Linked DNA regions of Arabidopsis thaliana. The protein of the gene in region 2 interacts with the protein of the main gene of each other region in a pairwise test. Each region holds a gene or a part of one and is shown on either strand. Other genes may lie near its edges.

The links.
Region 1: the proteins of OBE1 (region 2) and HEC2 interact in a two-hybrid assay, tested with the Arabidopsis thaliana proteins (one large-scale study listed by BioGRID).
Region 3: the proteins of OBE1 (region 2) and WRKY11 interact in a two-hybrid assay, tested with the Arabidopsis thaliana proteins (one large-scale study listed by BioGRID).

The regions. Positions count from the first base shown.
Region 1 is NC_003074.8:18,655,792-18,660,951, reverse strand, and holds HEC2 (basic helix-loop-helix (bHLH) DNA-binding superfamily protein), read left to right. Parts: upstream 1-2,574; 5' UTR 2,575-2,833; coding exon 2,834-3,529; 3' UTR 3,530-3,997; downstream 3,998-5,160.
Region 2 is NC_003074.8:2,481,445-2,488,642, reverse strand, and holds OBE1 (potyvirus VPg interacting protein (DUF1423)), read right to left. Parts: upstream 4,190-7,198; 5' UTR 3,658-4,189; coding exon 3,635-3,657; intron 3,550-3,634; coding exon 2,450-3,549; intron 2,378-2,449; coding exon 1,767-2,377; 3' UTR 1,517-1,766; downstream 1-1,516. Other genes in the region: AT3G07790 (DGCR14-like protein), read right to left, coding at 1-1,152; Hsp89.1 (HEAT SHOCK PROTEIN 89.1), read right to left, coding at 4,673-4,849, 4,952-5,041, 5,139-5,244, 5,332-5,506, 5,597-5,699, 5,804-6,058, 6,186-6,263, 6,366-6,458 and 3 more. UniProt on the Arabidopsis thaliana protein: Probable transcription factor that acts together with OBE2 for the maintenance and/or establishment of both the shoot and root meristems, probably by controlling the expression of the meristem genes such as WUS, PLT1 and PLT2 and of genes required for auxin responses.
Region 3 is NC_003075.7:15,288,784-15,294,498, reverse strand, and holds WRKY11 (WRKY DNA-binding protein 11), read left to right. Parts: upstream 1-2,959; 5' UTR 2,960-3,040; coding exon 3,041-3,708; intron 3,709-4,037; coding exon 4,038-4,166; coding exon of another isoform or gene 4,167-4,170; exon of another isoform or gene 4,171-4,253; coding exon 4,254-4,434; 3' UTR 4,435-4,552; downstream 4,553-5,715. UniProt on the Arabidopsis thaliana protein: Transcription factor. Interacts specifically with the W box (5'-(T)TGAC[CT]-3'), a frequently occurring elicitor-responsive cis-acting element.

The sequences.
Region 1 (5,160 bases), about 16 Mb from region 2:
TGTTAATATGGAGCAAAGGGCATAGATGATGCTTGGGACATGAACACAGCTGTATCACTACCTTGCCTTGGGAGGCAACCTACCCCAATTTTTGTTTATTTAATTATTAAAATATAATTCCTTTTAGAATTTTTTGATATATGCTTCCAATATCCCAGTGTTTGTTATTTTAATACACTGCCCATCCTCAACCAAATACTACGATGACAACTTTTTTTTTTTTAATAAATACATCCGACGAAAAAAGTCAGTAGTCCAATCACTACTAAACTCTAGATTTTATGGAAGTCTATTTAATTTATAAGTTTGTTTGTGGTGAGTTTCATATAAAATTACATCATATATGATCTTTGCATTTTTTATTCGGTGAATTGATGAGAGTACTATCTGATCAAGATATGTTAAATACATAAAGATTTTTCAAACTTTTTTACAAAAAGATTCTTCCAACTAAACAAATCGTCATTGGCGTTTTAGAGTTGCATCGCAAATTTCAGTAAACAATCTTAGCTAATGTTTTCCATTCTGAGTTCTTATTCTTTATTAGTACATTTTTAAATTTGCTGTCGATTTTAACGGCATTTGTTCAATCAATAACGTAGTGAATGACATGGGCGACTTTGATTAAACAGTTCAATAATTAAAGAAAAAAAATCGAAAAAGGAAGTTCTCGAGAGACAAAAAAAAAAATTGTACGAACAAGACTTGGAATCTTGGTTAAGAAATTTAGATTCGGTGGGAAGGAGGAGTGTTTAATTCTTACAGTGACTTTGTGTAAGTAAAAAGGTGAAAAGGGGAAAATAGCATCTATTTTTGTTACTTACGAAGCTGATTGAAAAAGAGAGAGCAGCGAAACGTCATCGTTTCGTTAGCTTTCTTACATGTTTCAGTGTCAACATAAGAGGGTAAAACCAAGTCCAAAGCAACTTACTGTGTCTGTCTATTTTAGGCTAATTATAGGGTAGAAGACGAACTCATAATAATTTTAATTAACAAGTAAGCAATTACTTTTGTGACGTCAAAAGAGATGATTTCTATGAATGAAAAGAAAAAACCCGATGATTTTGCACAAATGAAGCCAAGCATTGATCTTGATTGAAGATTGTGAGGTTTTTGACGTTTGACGTATGCATTTTTAAGGAAAGAGTCATTTATTATTAATTTGGTTGTTGAAGTGCAATTCCTTTGTTAACTAATGTTATAAGAATTTCTTTCTTTTGTTCTTTATTTGTTTTTTGTCAATAAACAGTACTACTCTATGTTCACGTAAAGTTCTTAAAATAAAGAGAAAAATAATTTAATGAAGATCGCAATAAGTCCTTTCCGATCGGCTTTGATAAGCGTGCCATATACCAACGCTCGACGCCAAGTGAGGTTCGATTATATTGAGTCCATTATATATAAGATAATATTCTTCCATAATATACACTCCCTTAGTATATACATTGCAAAACAAATTCATATAAACTAAATACGTTAACATGATGGTTTGTATTTGTGAAACTCGAGAAATTCACTATATTACTCATTTAAACAAAAACAAAAAAATCATGCAAAAAAATAATAACGTAGTACGTTTTCTTCAAGCATGTTCAAAGAAGTTATAACATCAATCTTATTTACTACTTACTAACGAAGACAGTGCATCTCATTAATATTCTCATGCATAACATATTGGATCCATCCAGGTTAAAAGTTAAAATAAGAAAACTTGAATTCAAGGTAATATTGTTTCGCCGTCGCCTGAACAGATCCCGGCGAAACAGATGGGTTCCCTGGATTCTGACATATTTCATGTGGATGTGGGGTAATTAACAATTATAAACAAAAAAAAACAGTAGTATAAAATTTAGATACCAAAAAAAAAAAACTACACAACTACTCTCTCTTTCAGTCTTTCCCATTACACTCATTCGAACTTATATAAAAGATTTATTTTTATATTTTGAAAACAAATTAAAATTGTAGAAATAGGAAAATTCATGGTTGCTGCCTCAAATGGTGAGAGCGGTTCATGCACCTTCATTTGTCCAGAAGCGCCTTAGTTCACAACTCGTGGGTCCAAAATCCCACCGATTGTGACACGTGAACGGTTGATCCAGACAAAGGATAATATCCTTCATGAAATATGACTCAAAACGAATTTTCCATTCATCAGCTAATTTTAGTGACACCAAGTGACTAGTGATTCCAATCTCTTGCGAGTTGCAATGATTCCAGACAAAAGTATATATAAGTACACCAACTAATTTATGCAAAACTGGTATTGAAAGTTTAAAGTAAATAAATTTATATTTTTTGTCATAAAATAAATAGTATAATTTTATTTATAGTTAAAAAAAATACGTGCAACATAAATATAACTGTCCAATGCATATGGAAGGTTGAAACATCCATGTCAAAGCAATGAACAAATTTTCAACTGCTAGCTAGTGTACGTTAATGTATACATACATATATTTACTAAATACATATACGTGTGTGTTACAAAGTTTTAGGAGTGTGAAAAATAGAAGAAGGAAAACAATCCTAATTGTTATAAATTATATATGTAATAAAAAGGAGTAAAATAATAAGAATGGGTCACAAAGTGCTATATAAATCCATCACTTCCTTTTATATTGCTGAATCTCTGATTGGTAGTAACAGTTTACATTTCGCACATAACTCTCCCTCTGTCTTCCACCATCATCTCTTCTGTGATTCAGACACACAAAGCCCTAAATTTCAAGCTTTGTCAGTCCATCTTCTTCTTCCTCCATACCTTATCTCACCAGCTTCTCCATATCTCTCAAAGAAAAAACAAACCCTATAAATTCCACAAAAAAGGAGGATGGATAACTCCGACATTCTAATGAACATGATGATGCAGCAGATGGAGAAGCTTCCTGAACACTTCTCTAACTCAAACCCTAACCCTAATCCCCATAACATTATGATGCTTTCTGAATCCAACACCCACCCGTTCTTCTTCAACCCCACTCATTCTCATCTCCCATTTGACCAAACCATGCCTCACCACCAACCCGGTTTAAATTTCCGGTACGCCCCCTCCCCGTCATCATCTCTCCCGGAGAAGAGAGGAGGCTGCAGCGACAACGCCAACATGGCGGCGATGAGAGAGATGATCTTTCGAATAGCCGTGATGCAGCCTATACATATTGATCCGGAATCCGTAAAGCCACCAAAGAGAAAGAACGTGAGGATCTCTAAGGATCCACAGAGCGTGGCAGCTCGGCATCGAAGGGAGAGGATAAGCGAGCGGATTCGGATTCTTCAGCGGCTTGTTCCCGGTGGGACTAAGATGGATACGGCGTCGATGCTCGATGAGGCTATCCATTACGTTAAGTTTCTCAAGAAGCAAGTGCAGTCGCTGGAGGAACATGCGGTGGTTAACGGCGGAGGAATGACGGCGGTGGCCGGAGGAGCACTTGCGGGTACTGTTGGTGGAGGATATGGAGGAAAAGGGTGTGGCATTATGCGGTCTGATCATCACCAGATGCTTGGAAATGCACAGATTCTTAGATGATGATGATGTTGATTTTTAAATATATATCATATGTTTATTAATATGACGGGAAAAAATATTATCGAGGGAGTTGAATTTAGTATCATGAAACTATGAGAGCATTTTTTTTAAATGTTTTTATCTTTCCGGGTTTCGATAATGTTTGGGATGGTTAATTAACAATTTAAAAGTCAGACAACTTGGTTGTAAAGACTAAAGAATAAGCATAGTTTATCAATTTATCATTACTAAATGAAATAGTCTCTTGTCACTGATCAATGCAACATGTTTTAGCTTTCAGACATCTAGTTAAGGTTTTGTGAGTTGAATAATAGTATTGTTTTCTGTCTTGTTTCCAATGTAAGCGTCAAAAGTTTATAATTTATGGCATTTCGTACCTGTGGTACGTTCTTGATGCATAGGTGTATGATTTTGTGAGCCAACTTTATAGATAACAGGAAGTTTTGGAGACAAATCGATAACACGAACATCTGTGGTGTTGTTTAGCATTTTAACACTTATTGAAAAATAAAAATATATATCATACTTTTAGAGTGTAAGATTCTGCAAAATTTCAATGCATGTAATAATTAATATATAAATACAAAAGTCTAAGCCTCTTATTAAATTAAACGAAAACAGACTCTTATGAAATAAAACAAAAATTGTTTAGAAAATAAATTACCATATATATTGATTTTAATATTGGTGAGTTATATATGTAAAATTATATGTTTTCTATTGTTCTTCTTTTTAGTTAACAAACTAGAAAGGCAGATTGTATTACTACTACTATCTTGCTGTATAAATAACTTTTTCTCTTTTGAATGAGTGTATATCAATCTATCTCGTACTTAAATGTTTTTTTTTTGCTTTCTTTTTTTTGCTTCTTCATAAATTTCTCGGAACTTGAATCAACTACATTCATTACAGAAGATGGAGAAACCCAGCTGACATCCCAACTTTAAAAAATAATTTATATCACAAACCAAGGCTACATATTATTGTGTCACAAGGTAAAGCCCAAATAAAGATCCATTTCACAAAGATAAGCCCTTTACCGTACACAGATATGTTTGTTGTAACAGATAATGATACAAACTAGTATTAGACTTAGACTACATGTTTTGGTCGGAGCACGACGGCGGACATTGTTCTGGGAGCAAAAGGGGTACTTCAGAAAGATGAAGATGAACATGAATAAGGCAGTTTCGTAATTTCACATAAGGACTTCACCGTTAGATTAATCTCGAAAATTTCCATATCTCAGTGTTGTTGTTTTTTTGTGTGATACAGATTGGTAATTTCGAAGATATGCTTTATTTGTTCGTAAATTTGTAAAGGGATCAGTAGCTTTTTAAAATAAACGTCCCTTGGGCCTCTTAAAAATGGGTTGTAACTATTTATCTTATATAAAAACCCATTATGAGATGAAATTCCTGAATAGTCCACTCCAAAAACCCAATACAATTTTTACATTTTTAGCTATTCGTTTGATTGATAATTTCAGGAATGATGTAAATCTTCTTGTCGTGAATAGTATAGTGACGGCTTCCTTTTTATTTGGAACTTCCAAAAAAAAAAATGTAATATTTTTAGAATAGCCTTTGACTCAACTTTAACAAAGAAAAACATGTTTAAATTGATGTTCA
Region 2 (7,198 bases):
AATATCAATAGGTGTATCCTCAAGATCTAATCGCATTGGTGTCCCATCAATCTCACCCCATGTTATAAAGGGTGATTCATCAAGACCTGGAGCAGGAGAAGGCGTTCTAACAAAACTATACCCATTGTCTGCCCTCTTATCTGATTCCACATAGAAAGGATTCGGTGTTTTCCTTAGATCATCAAGATCATACCTTTTAGACTTGTCTCTGTCCCTACCTGAGATATGCATCGGGGAAGAACCTGCGATTGGAGTGTAGAGAATCTCAACAGAACCATCTTCTCTTGGCCTAGAATCCATAGTCTTACCATGAAAACGAGTGTTCCCTTTAACTATCTCCTTAGTCAATCCAAGTAATCTCACTGCCCTTTCCGCCTCAGTTAAAGGCGCCTCACCCCGATCAGCTGGATGGTACATCAGAAGATTCTTCGCCGTATATTTCCATCCTTCTAAAGTACTCGGTGGCTGATCAGATGTACCATACCCATCTGTAATCCTATCTCTCTTCACATCCTCAATAGATTTACCATCCTCCTTTTCACCTTCAAGGAGAAAGCCATACTTCTCCTTCTTCTTCCTATTTACCTTCTCAAGAATCTTCGAAAAGCTCTCGTTATCCTCACTAGTATATCTCCTAAAGAACTCATCTAGGGACAAATTAAGATCTATATCTTCATCTCCATCACCAGCATCTACTTCAACACCATGAAATTCTCTACCAGATACTCCAGGAGTTCTAGGGGTTTTACCATCAAATTCATCTAAAGGAGTGAAATTTCTCAGAAAAGTAGATCCAGGAGTTTGAGTTTTACCCTCGGTATCTCCAACATGATGATTCGCCTTCTTTCCACGCCTCTCGATAATCTTCAACTGGGCATCTCGGATTTGAATCGGGTCACGGGTTTTCACCGCTTGGATCCAATCGAGCCGATCCCTAAGCTTAGTTATATCTGGAAAGTAATCACGCTCGATGATCTTCTCGATTGCTTCAACATAAGCGTCCTCATCGAGAACTCTCATCCGTTTTCTAGGGTTTCGAGGAATGATCTCCGAGGAAGAACTGCGAGGCGTTGATCGGAGGGTATCATCGGAATAAGAAGACGGCGATGGAGAAGAAATCTGACGAGGAGAATGACCAGGTGAAAGAAACATCTTGAATCAGAAGAACGCGAATTCAAAAAGCACGAATGGAATTTGGAGCCGATGAATTTTGTCGAGAATTCGGACACTAGGGTTTGTTTTTGGGTAGACAGGAAAACAAAACGATGGTCGATGATTGCATCGGCGATGATATAATATTCCTTATCAATCCGATTATACGCGTTTTGTTTCCAGAATATTACATTATTTCCCCAAACGTTTTGATTCCTTTTGCTTTATACCCCGTAAGAAATCAAATCGTTATTATAACCCAAACATGAGGACGTTATTGCAAATAACTACTCTGTAATATCCATTTGGGCAAAATATTTTCTTTTTAAAGTCGGTGGCGATGTTCTTTGGCTCTCATGTTGGCTCAAATATAAACTATTTAAGGTAACATGGATCTCCCTCCATTAGCGAAATCCACAATTCTCTAAATCCGAGTGAATAAGTATCGAGATTTTGGCAACACTCTGTGTCAAAGCTTGCATAACATTATGGCCCAACATAGACGATCATGTGCAAAATTTGAATACAAAGACCACAATACTTCACACACAAATCCAACCTTAATTGATTCGGATTTTTTTTTTAATACAAACAAAGAGAGACAATACAAACATCTAAGGATTGGATCTGAAAGGATTTCGCTGGTTTGATCTTGGATCTACCCTTGGCGACGATGCATTGTATCCATGCAGCATTTCTCTGATCTTTGAGTACATCACTGCTTGTGACGCTTCACCACCATTCCCACCACTTTCCTGCTCTTTTATCTTTTCAAACAGATACTCTTTCTCTGCCTCCGCCTCGCTCAGCCTCAGTTTCAAATAGTTACTTGCGTATTCCTCTTCTGTTTTCTCCTTTTTCGCTTTCACAATCCTTTCCAATCTCTCTGCTTCCACTTTTGCCTCGTTTGCTTTTAACTGAAACATCTCTGCCTCTGCTTGCTTCAGCCTCACTATCCTCTCCACCTCTTCTATCTGTTGTTTCTTCTTCTGCCTCTCCATCTGCAGTTCCGCCACTTGCTTTGCTTTCTCTTCTACCTCTCTCTCGCATTCCTCAAGCCCCATTCGCGCTTTCTTGTACATCCTCGTCTTTTCCTCACCCACTATCTCCATTTTCCTCAGTGTTTCCTTTACAACTTCAGCAATTCGGTTGCATGCATCTTGAGGTGCTATCGTACCCCCACCTTCTCCGCTTTCAAGGCTCTTTGGAGAGTCCAATTCAATTTCTTCATACACAAAACATGGTTAGGTCTATAAAGAGTAAACCCTTATCATATAACAATAGCGAGTGGGCTTACCTTGGAAAAACATGAGTATCAACTTGGCCGCTGTTGCTTCAGCCAGTCCACCTTTAATCTTCTCCATAAGCTCCTCACACTTCCAGAAGAGTTTCCGGCCTCTTGTATCTTCGCTTCCACGGAAAATCCTACTAACGAAGTCAAGTTCCTTCATTAAAGATTCCCTATCCCAGTTTGGTGCACAGTGCTGAAACACATCTTTCACCCACCCCAGCAATTCAGAAGTATGGTTGCACGCTCGACACTTGAACAGCATTTCTCCCATCCCAGATACGCTCTTGGGAGAAACTCCCATCGAAATCTCCCCATCCCTAATAGCACAATCCGTATGAGTCCAATGAGAACACACGTCGCAGCCAATCCAGCGGCATGTGTTGACTGCAAAGTCAAACTTGTTACATATCACACACATGCACAGGTTGCAGAAGCCTTTCCTATTAGCGCATATCTCACAGGGACAACCATCAGCCGGGAGTTCGTTTTGGCAAGCTATGTTTCTGCATCTCTTGTACACAAAGATCTCGATGAGTGATGACTGAGAGAGATTGATGTTTGGGTGCAAGAATGCTTGGATACCAGTGTTTATAACCACAAGAACTTCAAGCTGCACTCGGTGAGCCCTGACAAGTGTCTTTGAAGTTAAATCAGATCTCGTCTGGACAAACTTCTGCAGAAACATAAACTCATCTATAGGCTGCGCACCATTTCCTTCAAGGATAGCCTTAAGACCATTCTTTAACTCCTCGAGATATTCTTCTGGTAATCGATGCATTCTCTCAGCGACTATGTCAAGTCTCTCTCTAGCTATGTCCCGTAGCGATACCTTATCAGCAATGGAAACATGGCGGATCACATGTTGATCATGAGAGTCAGGCCCTGTCTTTCCGCTATCTGTCTTCCTTCCCATAATAGATTTTGAGGTTGGCCAAGTTTCTTGAGAGCTAGCACTTTCAGCTGGTGATTCACGCACAATGCCAGAATTAGACCGTGACAAGTGGGGATCTGAAGATACAAGCGAAAGAGATGTTTGTAGTTGCTGACGTGGAGGTAGCATCTGGTGAGGAAGATTGGACCCAGATGATGTGCCCATCAATTTAGTGCTGCAGACACCAAGATAATGTCAATGTCAGATTCACCCCAAGGAACACATAAATCCCTAAAATACTTTACGACCAAATCACATACTAATTCAGGAAAGCCCAAAACATTTTGCAAAATCCCTAGAAATCCACCGACAGATAAAAACTACATCTCCTATGTTCAAATTGAGCTGAGATGATTAATCACTAGTGGAAGCTCAAAAAATACAAACACATGACAGAGTAAACACAAAACAAGCGCTAGAAAAAAACAAGTTGCTCGAATCTGTTTGCCCCGTAGATTATACGCTATAAAAGTCAAACACGAATCTTCATAAAATCAGAAAATCTTGCAAGTACCAAAATACATAGTCATAAACTGAATCAACCCTCAAAACAACGCATCCAACTCGATCACGAGAGTTATTGACTCTTTTTGTCACCGAATTTTCAGGACCAGCCTCGAACTCAACAACCAAAACAGATACGTTTTGCTGTATTCGCCTCAGACATAAAGAAAGCACCAAACAGACGAGAAAGGGAAAAAGACCGCCGGAAAATTAAGGACTCACCGGAGAGACGACGGGAGAGGACGAACGAGGAACCGTGACTCCGTGAGAAACCCAAAGGAAAGATAAATTAAACACTTTTTTGCCTGTTAAGACAGAACTATAAAAAAGACATACAGCTGCCAGTTCATTAATCTCTAACGGTTAACCTGACCAGCCGGTAACCTTCGACTTTTGTTGACTTTTTTAAACGCGTTCAACGTTTGAGTCGAATCTGTCCAAACAAAGTTTTAAACCAACCCAATTCGTACGATAACAACATCCCTCTATTTAATTAAAAATTACCATATGTCCCAAAATTTTAGTTTTGTTAGATAAAACTCGAAAAATCTTTCCAAAAACACCCCAACTGAATTTTTCTTAACGGTTATTAAAATTATACCGAGGAGGATCAACACAAACTGGAACAAAAACAAGCTCAATCAATTATTAATCTCTCCAACATAAATAGAGATTATCATTCGCTCATTGCCTATTGTTCTGAGTTTTGGGGTTCTACTTTTACTGCTACTACTAATAAAAGAAGAAGAATATGATGAGAATCGTAGCAGGGACATAAAACATTAGGCTTGTGTTCATTTCTTCCCATCCACTTCGACTGGTTCAACCACTTCAGCTTCAAACGTCTCTGCATCGTGAGAATGTGCCATCTGCTGTTGCTGCGGCTGCACCTCAGGGCTTGACCATTTCCCGGAAAGAGCTACATCCATCATCTCATATATCTTCCCACCCAGCTCTGCTGGATTATCGGGCTGTAGTTTTGAGAAACAACAATTAAGTTTTACCAGTATTTACTTTATTTCAATTCTAGAGACAACAAAAAGTTAAGAATGTTAATGTAGAATAGGACTCACCGTGAACCCACTAGAAACTAGTGCTGCGTCATACATAAGATCTATGGCTCTCATTGCATCTTCGTCATTTGGGTTACTATTGTAAGCAGCCTGCAGGGTGCAAGAAAAAAACAAGCCAAGCTCAAAAAGCGGCTCCTAGATTTAATTATAATAGCCAGGTACAAGTTATGATGAATGGTGACTTCACATTTATGTTCTTGATAATTGAGTGGTCGGGATTGATCTCAAACACTCTTCTCCCTTTCATGTAGTCGAGGCTTATTGTGTCACCAGTTGATTGTGCCTTCATTAGCCTGTCCAGATAACATATTCTGTGTTAGTTCACCAGGGGCAAAAAAGGAGAACGGAAATCCTTGCTTAAGAAAAAGGTCAGATCTTACCTCTCCATATTGGCTGACCAACCAAATTTACCAGATACAAGAACACAGGGGGAAGAACTAAGACGGTTGGAAATTTGAACACTGGCAACCTTGTCACCCAATCGTTTCTTTATCCAGTCACAAGTCTGTCCAAACTCTTTTTTCACTGCTGCCTCTTTCTCCTCGTTCTTGTCTCCTGTCAATACAAAGATCAAAGCCAGAATTTGTTATTATACATAAGTGATTACCTGACATGCTAAATCAAGGAATTACATCAGGCACTTGCCTAGATCCAAGTCTTCCTTGCTGATATCTACAAAATCCTTCTCCTTATAAGCTTTTAAACTCTGTACGGCAACTTCATCAATAGGCTCTACCAAATATAGTACCTACGTTCACAATACAAAGAAATACATGTCAATCACCTCTGAGTTAATAGGAATATTTGCAAGGAAGAACAAAACGAGGCCCCATTCAGAAGAACAACACATACTTCAAGTCCTTTCTCCAGCATCTTTTCGAGGAAAGGTGCATTCTTAGCACTTGTAATGCTGTCAGAAGCAATGAAGTATATGGCTTTCTGTTCAGGTTTCATGTTCTCAACATACTCATCCAAGCTGATCATGTCATTCTCACTCTGGGAGGAGAAAAATCGAAGCAGTGGAGCTATACGCTTGTGGTTTTCACGGTCTTCGATGCACCCTAATTTCAAGTGTTTGCCAAAATTATCCCAAAACTTCTCATAGTCCTGTATAGGTTAACAATGCCATTCTCATTCGTCAGGAAAATCATCACCAGAACGTAGCAGTGATTTCTAAAGGGAATTAAAAAAGGTTAAACTGTAAGCTTAGGGGAACAAGAGTTATGAAACATACTTCTCTGTTTTCACTCAAGGATATACCCAAAATCATATCAAAAGCCTTCCTCACTAGACGTTTCTTCATGATCCGCACCTTGGAGACACAATACAAAATCGTAAGCTTAACATAGCATTGCACTTAAAACAAAACATATATCATAAAGGCTTTGCATACGAATTGGATATGAGCGCTTACTATGCGACTTTCTTGAAGAATCTCACGTGATACATTAAGTGGGAGATCATGCGAGTCCACAACACCTTTAACAAAGCTCAAGTACCGAGGAAACTGGCCACAAACACCACAAAAATGATATCAATATAATTAGAAAGACAGAGGTTTCTTGAAAGAAATTTGAACCACACCAAAAGAAACTTTTCTCACCAGCTCCCCATCAAAGTCATCTGAAATGAAAACTCGTTTAACATAGAGCCTTATGTTCTTTGTCTTTTGATTGACTATGTCATCCTTCCCCGATGGTGAAACAGGTGGCACATATAGGATAGACCTAAACTCGACTTCGCCCTGAGCATTGCCAACAAGAGAATCAAAGAGCATTATATTTCAGTGGATCGTCTAACAAAGACGATCTAATTCGGCTGTTTAATGGAAATATCCAATTCAATAAATGTGTTCCTTTGAAAATACCTCTGTCGTGAAATGGGATGAAGCCAATGGGTCCAAATACTCATTGAAAGCTTTTCTGTAAAACTCATTGTATTCTGCTGTTGTCACCTCCTTAGGGTTACGCAGCTGCAATAAATAAAATACACTGTTAAATTGATTCAGAGTGCACTCAAGATACATTGACAAGTCCTTACCCAAATCGGTTGTGTCTCATTTGTAAGCTCCCAATCCCAGTATCTCTCAACAACCTTCTTGGTCTTCTTCTTTTTCTGTTACAAGAAAAATAGTCCCCAACCCTAAGCCAACTTTTCTTACACATCTAGCTATCTTCTGATGCTGATTAAGATATTTCCAGAAGCTGATCAAGGTATTTCTTAGAACAGGTAAAGAGACGCAGGTAT
Region 3 (5,715 bases), on a different chromosome or scaffold from region 2:
TTGGTTTGGATCACCCATTATACATCATTTTCTTGATATTTATAGTTCATCTTCCAAGACCACCATGTGCTTGGTTCATGTTTAGACGTTAAAGTGAAGAATATAAAGCAAAATTATTCGACACCCAACGTTACATCCAAATATGCGTTAAACATTGATATTAGAAAAATACAAAATATGACATCTAGTTGAAGTCCACATTGGATTCCACTCTCATTTTACTTTTTGTCTTTTATCTACATATTCTTCCTTACAGCTTTCTTTCAATGTTTATTTAATTAGTACAAGTAAAATAGGCATAGCATTGTGTCATAACCCTCAACTCTACAACATGCATGCATTATATATGCATATATAGTAGAATTGATCATGCATGTATTAACTGTAACTGAAGTGAGATTAAGACTTATGAAACAAAACTAATAGGACTACAAATATTAGTCTTTTTTATCATCCCATATTTCTCTGTATATAAACTCTGTAGTTATTTCTAATTTTAAGATTTATAATCATCCTTGACAAAAAAAAAAAAAAAAGAGATTTGTGATCAGAACATTTGTTGTTTAAAGAACTTGTTTGAGTTGTTGTTAAAAAAAAATAACATAATTGTTATGTCAAGATTATTTGAATTAATATTTTTTATCCGTTAAATTGTTATGTAACTTCTTGTCATGAAGTACAAAATATACTCAATTATTAATACGACAAAATAAATAGTACGTAACGTTGCAGAGTCGTAGAGATAGAATTAACATGCAATTTTTTTTTAATTTTTTTTTTATATCAACATGCAATTTAACGAACACGTTTCTTGCACCTGCTTGATAGAAAATAATAATATAAATTATTGGAACGAAATACAACCAGAGAAAAACGAGCATAATTTTATTATTTTATTTTTAGTTTTCTAAAAATCATCTTACTTTTTTTTATCTTGTTTTATGTTTCATTGTAGTTTTAATACGGGGAACGATTTTACCCCGCATGTATAGAACAAAAACAAGTTTACTTTTAAAATTAGTGAAAGACTAGTTCCAAAACCGCATTGACATGTTAGTTTTTTCTCTTACAAATATATATTTGTTATCTTATTCTAATGTTAACCAAACAAATATTGATCGGGAAGAAAAAGAGATGCTCAGAAATATTATAACACAATGAGTGATTGAGACATAGAAAAAAGGATGATCATTGAGATTTTGTAACTATGTAGATAATATAGACGTGCACGACAATAATAATACAACTCGGTCGATCGGGTCAACTACCCCATGTTATAATTTAATCGTTGACATAAGAAACTGTTTTAAATAACAACAATCCATGGTTTCTTCCCCACCCATATATAGCCATAAAACACGTTACATGAACACTCAACACGTTCTATTTTCATTTTTTATTTTGTTAATAATTTAAGAATTTTAAGCTGAAGTCCAGATTAATTTCCAAAACATAGAGAGACAATATAATTATTGCCAGCTAAGATAATCACAATTACTGAATACGATTAAAATCCAAGTTGGAAGATTTTATTTTTGTAACCAATGGACTAGTATCCAAGATAATGTTGATACATACGAGTACATTTTATGTCACTATATACAATTTCCGATATTTTTTATTTTTCAATCATTCGTTAATAAAAATTCTACAAACAAAAATAATTCATCAAAACACTAAATAAATTTTTTTTCCCTTTTTCTCAATTTTATGCCTTGCCTAATTTCTGTTCCATTCATTTTTGAAACAATTTCAATAGTGGAACATGATAACAAAAGTCGACACGTGACAAGAACTTAATAGCTGGCTGGAGATTTTAATAGGCTCATAAAATCATAAAAACATAGTCAACACTTGTATCCACAGATCCACCGTTGGATTGACCTTTCGAAAATCCAGTGGTTCATATAAGAGTTAATGGGACCACCCGGTTACCGAGGTCGTCAAATAGCTTTATGTTCAAAGAAATAATCGTAAATTCGTTATTTTTTATTTTCTTACAATAATTTAGTAGCACTACTACTTTAACATTTTAAATAGTCAGCTTTTCACCTTCCTTTGTCGTATTGATGAATCGCTGTTCTAGTGGACTTTTAAAATCATTAGTCAAACCATTACTGCTATTTTAATTATAATGACTATTATTATTTGTTGTTTTCACAATATGTGTAGAATACTTAGGTGAATTTGAGGTTAATAAAGTTTCCAAGTGAAGACTGTTTCTAAAATGAAAACTTCTTGTTGTAAATAAGTAAACAGTCAAATTTTATCAATAGAAAAAGACAAAAAAGAAGTAAAAGTCCGGCGCCAAATATTTATTGGTTATGGAAACCCCTTAACTTAGTCTTGAATTAGTTAATCGTAAATCTAGTTGACAAATATTAAAGTCCGTAGAATTTGAAAGAATACAGAAGATTCAAATTGGGACAAACATAATATATAATTAAAGCTTTATAAAAGTCAAATGTATCCATTATTATTATTTTGGGATTAATCAATCATCTCTGTCTCTCGTTGACAACTCTTCCTTCTCTTGCCTCAACCAAATTCCAGCTGGCCCTCTTTCTCCATTGTGTGTGAATGAATCATTGACATTATTTTTACTTACTTTGGTCATGCAAACTTCTTTCTACACCTTTTGCTTAAGCTAAGTTGAATGATTTTTGTTAAGAGTGTTGTTATTTAGAGAAAATTCTGTCCATCCATTATCTTTTTGGGTTGAAAAATATCTTGAATTTGAAGTAACGATAAAATTCGGATGCCAGGGGTGGGTCCCAGTAACCTCGAACTTTGAGGAGACCAAACTGTTGATTGCTTTATTCCGTGGAAATCCTCAACTCAATCACAGCCGTTGGATCAAAACCTCCTTCCCGGTTTGACTAAAAAATCACCAAAAATCTGACCCGGTCACCTCCTCTTTTCCCCATATATCACGCATCCTTCTTCTTCTCTCTTCTCCATCACAACCATTTCTCTCTCTCGTCTTCGTCTTCTTCTTCTTCAACGTTCCTCTCCAAAATCCTCAGACCAAGAAATCATCATGGCCGTCGATCTAATGCGTTTCCCTAAGATAGATGATCAAACGGCTATTCAGGAAGCTGCATCGCAAGGTTTACAAAGTATGGAACATCTGATCCGTGTCCTCTCTAACCGTCCCGAACAACAACACAACGTTGACTGCTCCGAGATCACTGACTTCACCGTTTCTAAATTCAAAACCGTCATTTCTCTCCTTAACCGTACTGGTCACGCTCGGTTCAGACGCGGACCGGTTCACTCCACTTCCTCTGCCGCATCTCAGAAACTACAGAGTCAGATCGTTAAAAATACTCAACCTGAGGCTCCGATAGTGAGAACAACTACGAATCACCCTCAAATCGTTCCTCCACCGTCTAGTGTAACACTCGATTTCTCTAAACCAAGCATCTTCGGCACCAAAGCTAAGAGCGCCGAGCTGGAATTCTCCAAAGAAAACTTCAGTGTTTCTTTAAACTCCTCATTCATGTCGTCGGCGATAACCGGAGACGGCAGCGTCTCCAATGGAAAAATCTTCCTTGCTTCTGCTCCGTTGCAGCCTGTTAACTCTTCCGGAAAACCACCGTTGGCTGGTCATCCTTACAGAAAGAGATGTCTCGAGCATGAGCACTCAGAGAGTTTCTCCGGAAAAGTCTCCGGCTCCGCCTACGGAAAGTGCCATTGCAAGAAAAGGTATTGTTACGTCACCCACCTGTCGCTCTAACAACTACTCAGTGACTTCAGTTATTTAATTTCAAAAGTTTCAACCCATAGTTGACTATTACCCTCGCTATATCAATAATTAAAAAATAGTCTAATAATTCAATTAGGTGAACCCGGTTTAGTAATACTGTCCCGGTTATCGGTCTAGTTGCTTTAAATGTCGGGCATGTTTTGGTATTGCGCGCCGACAATGACTAGAACCGGTTGAGCTCAATGAATAACTCAAGTTTTGACCGTTGACTTTTGGAACCCAATGTTTTTTCCGTTAATTAATATTTTCTATTTGATTTTTAATGAAGCAGGAAAAATCGGATGAAGAGAACCGTGAGAGTACCGGCGATAAGTGCAAAGATCGCCGATATTCCACCGGACGAATATTCGTGGAGGAAGTACGGACAAAAACCGATCAAGGGCTCACCACACCCACGGTAAATATCCTACACCCGTCTAATATCCACCGTTGGTATTTAATTTAATCGCGATCTAACGGTGTTTATTTGTTTTTTGCGATCCAGTGGTTACTACAAGTGCAGTACATTCAGAGGATGTCCAGCGAGGAAACACGTGGAACGAGCATTAGATGATCCAGCGATGCTTATTGTGACATACGAAGGAGAGCACCGTCATAACCAATCCGCGATGCAGGAGAATATTTCTTCTTCAGGCATTAATGATTTAGTGTTTGCCTCGGCTTGACTTTTTTTTGTACTATTTGTTTTTTGATTTTTTGAGTACTTTAGATGGATTGAAATTTGTAAATTTTTTTATTAAGAAATCAATTTAAATAGAGAAAAATTAGTGGTGGTGCAATGTTTTATACTATTGTTGTTGATGATTAGTAGATATGGGTATTAGGTAGAACCGTAGAGGTTATGAAATTAATTGCGCACCAAATGATATAGACTTATGTTCGTCATTTACTTTTCATTATTCATTGTTTTTTTCCTTAATTAATATAAATGACTTGGTGGCCGTTGGATTGCTCGCGAAAGTAAAGTTGACTAAATTGATGAATGATTAAAAGTCAATGAGTACTTAATGAGTTGGTTGGGTTTTGGTGTCGAATAATGCATTTGAGTTTGTCTATATAAATGTGAAATCCGAAAGACAAGTTAAGGGTCAACTGAATTTATTTATGCCGTCTGAATAGTACATTGACATTTATTATCTATATCTTGTGTCAAAGTTGTCATTTGTTATTGCCGACCTATGTTTTAAAATGAAATACCAAGTGTTTGACCATTTCCTATGTTTATATTTCGATATCGATTGGTAGTAAGACAAACAGTTTGGCACGATGTATACAAAATTAGAGATGTACAAGTACTTGCTATGTTAAAAGGGAACGGAAGTTACGAAACACTCGTATATTTTTAGAGGGACAAAGTTTCAGTTTCTAGTTAGGAAGGAAGATTTGAAGACCATTACTACTTGTCCCACCAACCAAAAAATAGTATACAAAGACGACCACACTTAAATCATCTGGTACAAAACTCCTCACTTGAAATTCTCAGACACATATTGGTTCGTGGAATTCGTTTGTATCTACTCCTTTTTATGTGAGAGGATCGGAACAAATATTGCATTGGTCACAAACACTATAACGTTTCTTAGTAAGAAAACGCAACGTCATTTCAGCTGCATTCATGCAAGAGTATAAATGTGAAAAAACAATCCAAGATTTTTTTTCAGTCTATAAAGTATAAACACACACGTATCACAAAAATACATCACCAAACACATACACAGCACTTTTTTAAAAATGGCCAAGGCTTAAGATGTATCCTTCTTCCTTACAATAACACTGCTCTTAGCCATACGTTGAAGAGAAGCGACAAATTAAAAGTCAGCCCATACATGGCATACGTCTTCGTACCGGCATCAGCTCCATACGACGAGGAGTTCGACGACCCATTTCTCTACACGTGTATGTAGACAACTACAAGCTGCTGAAAGTACGGAGACAAGTCATGTTCA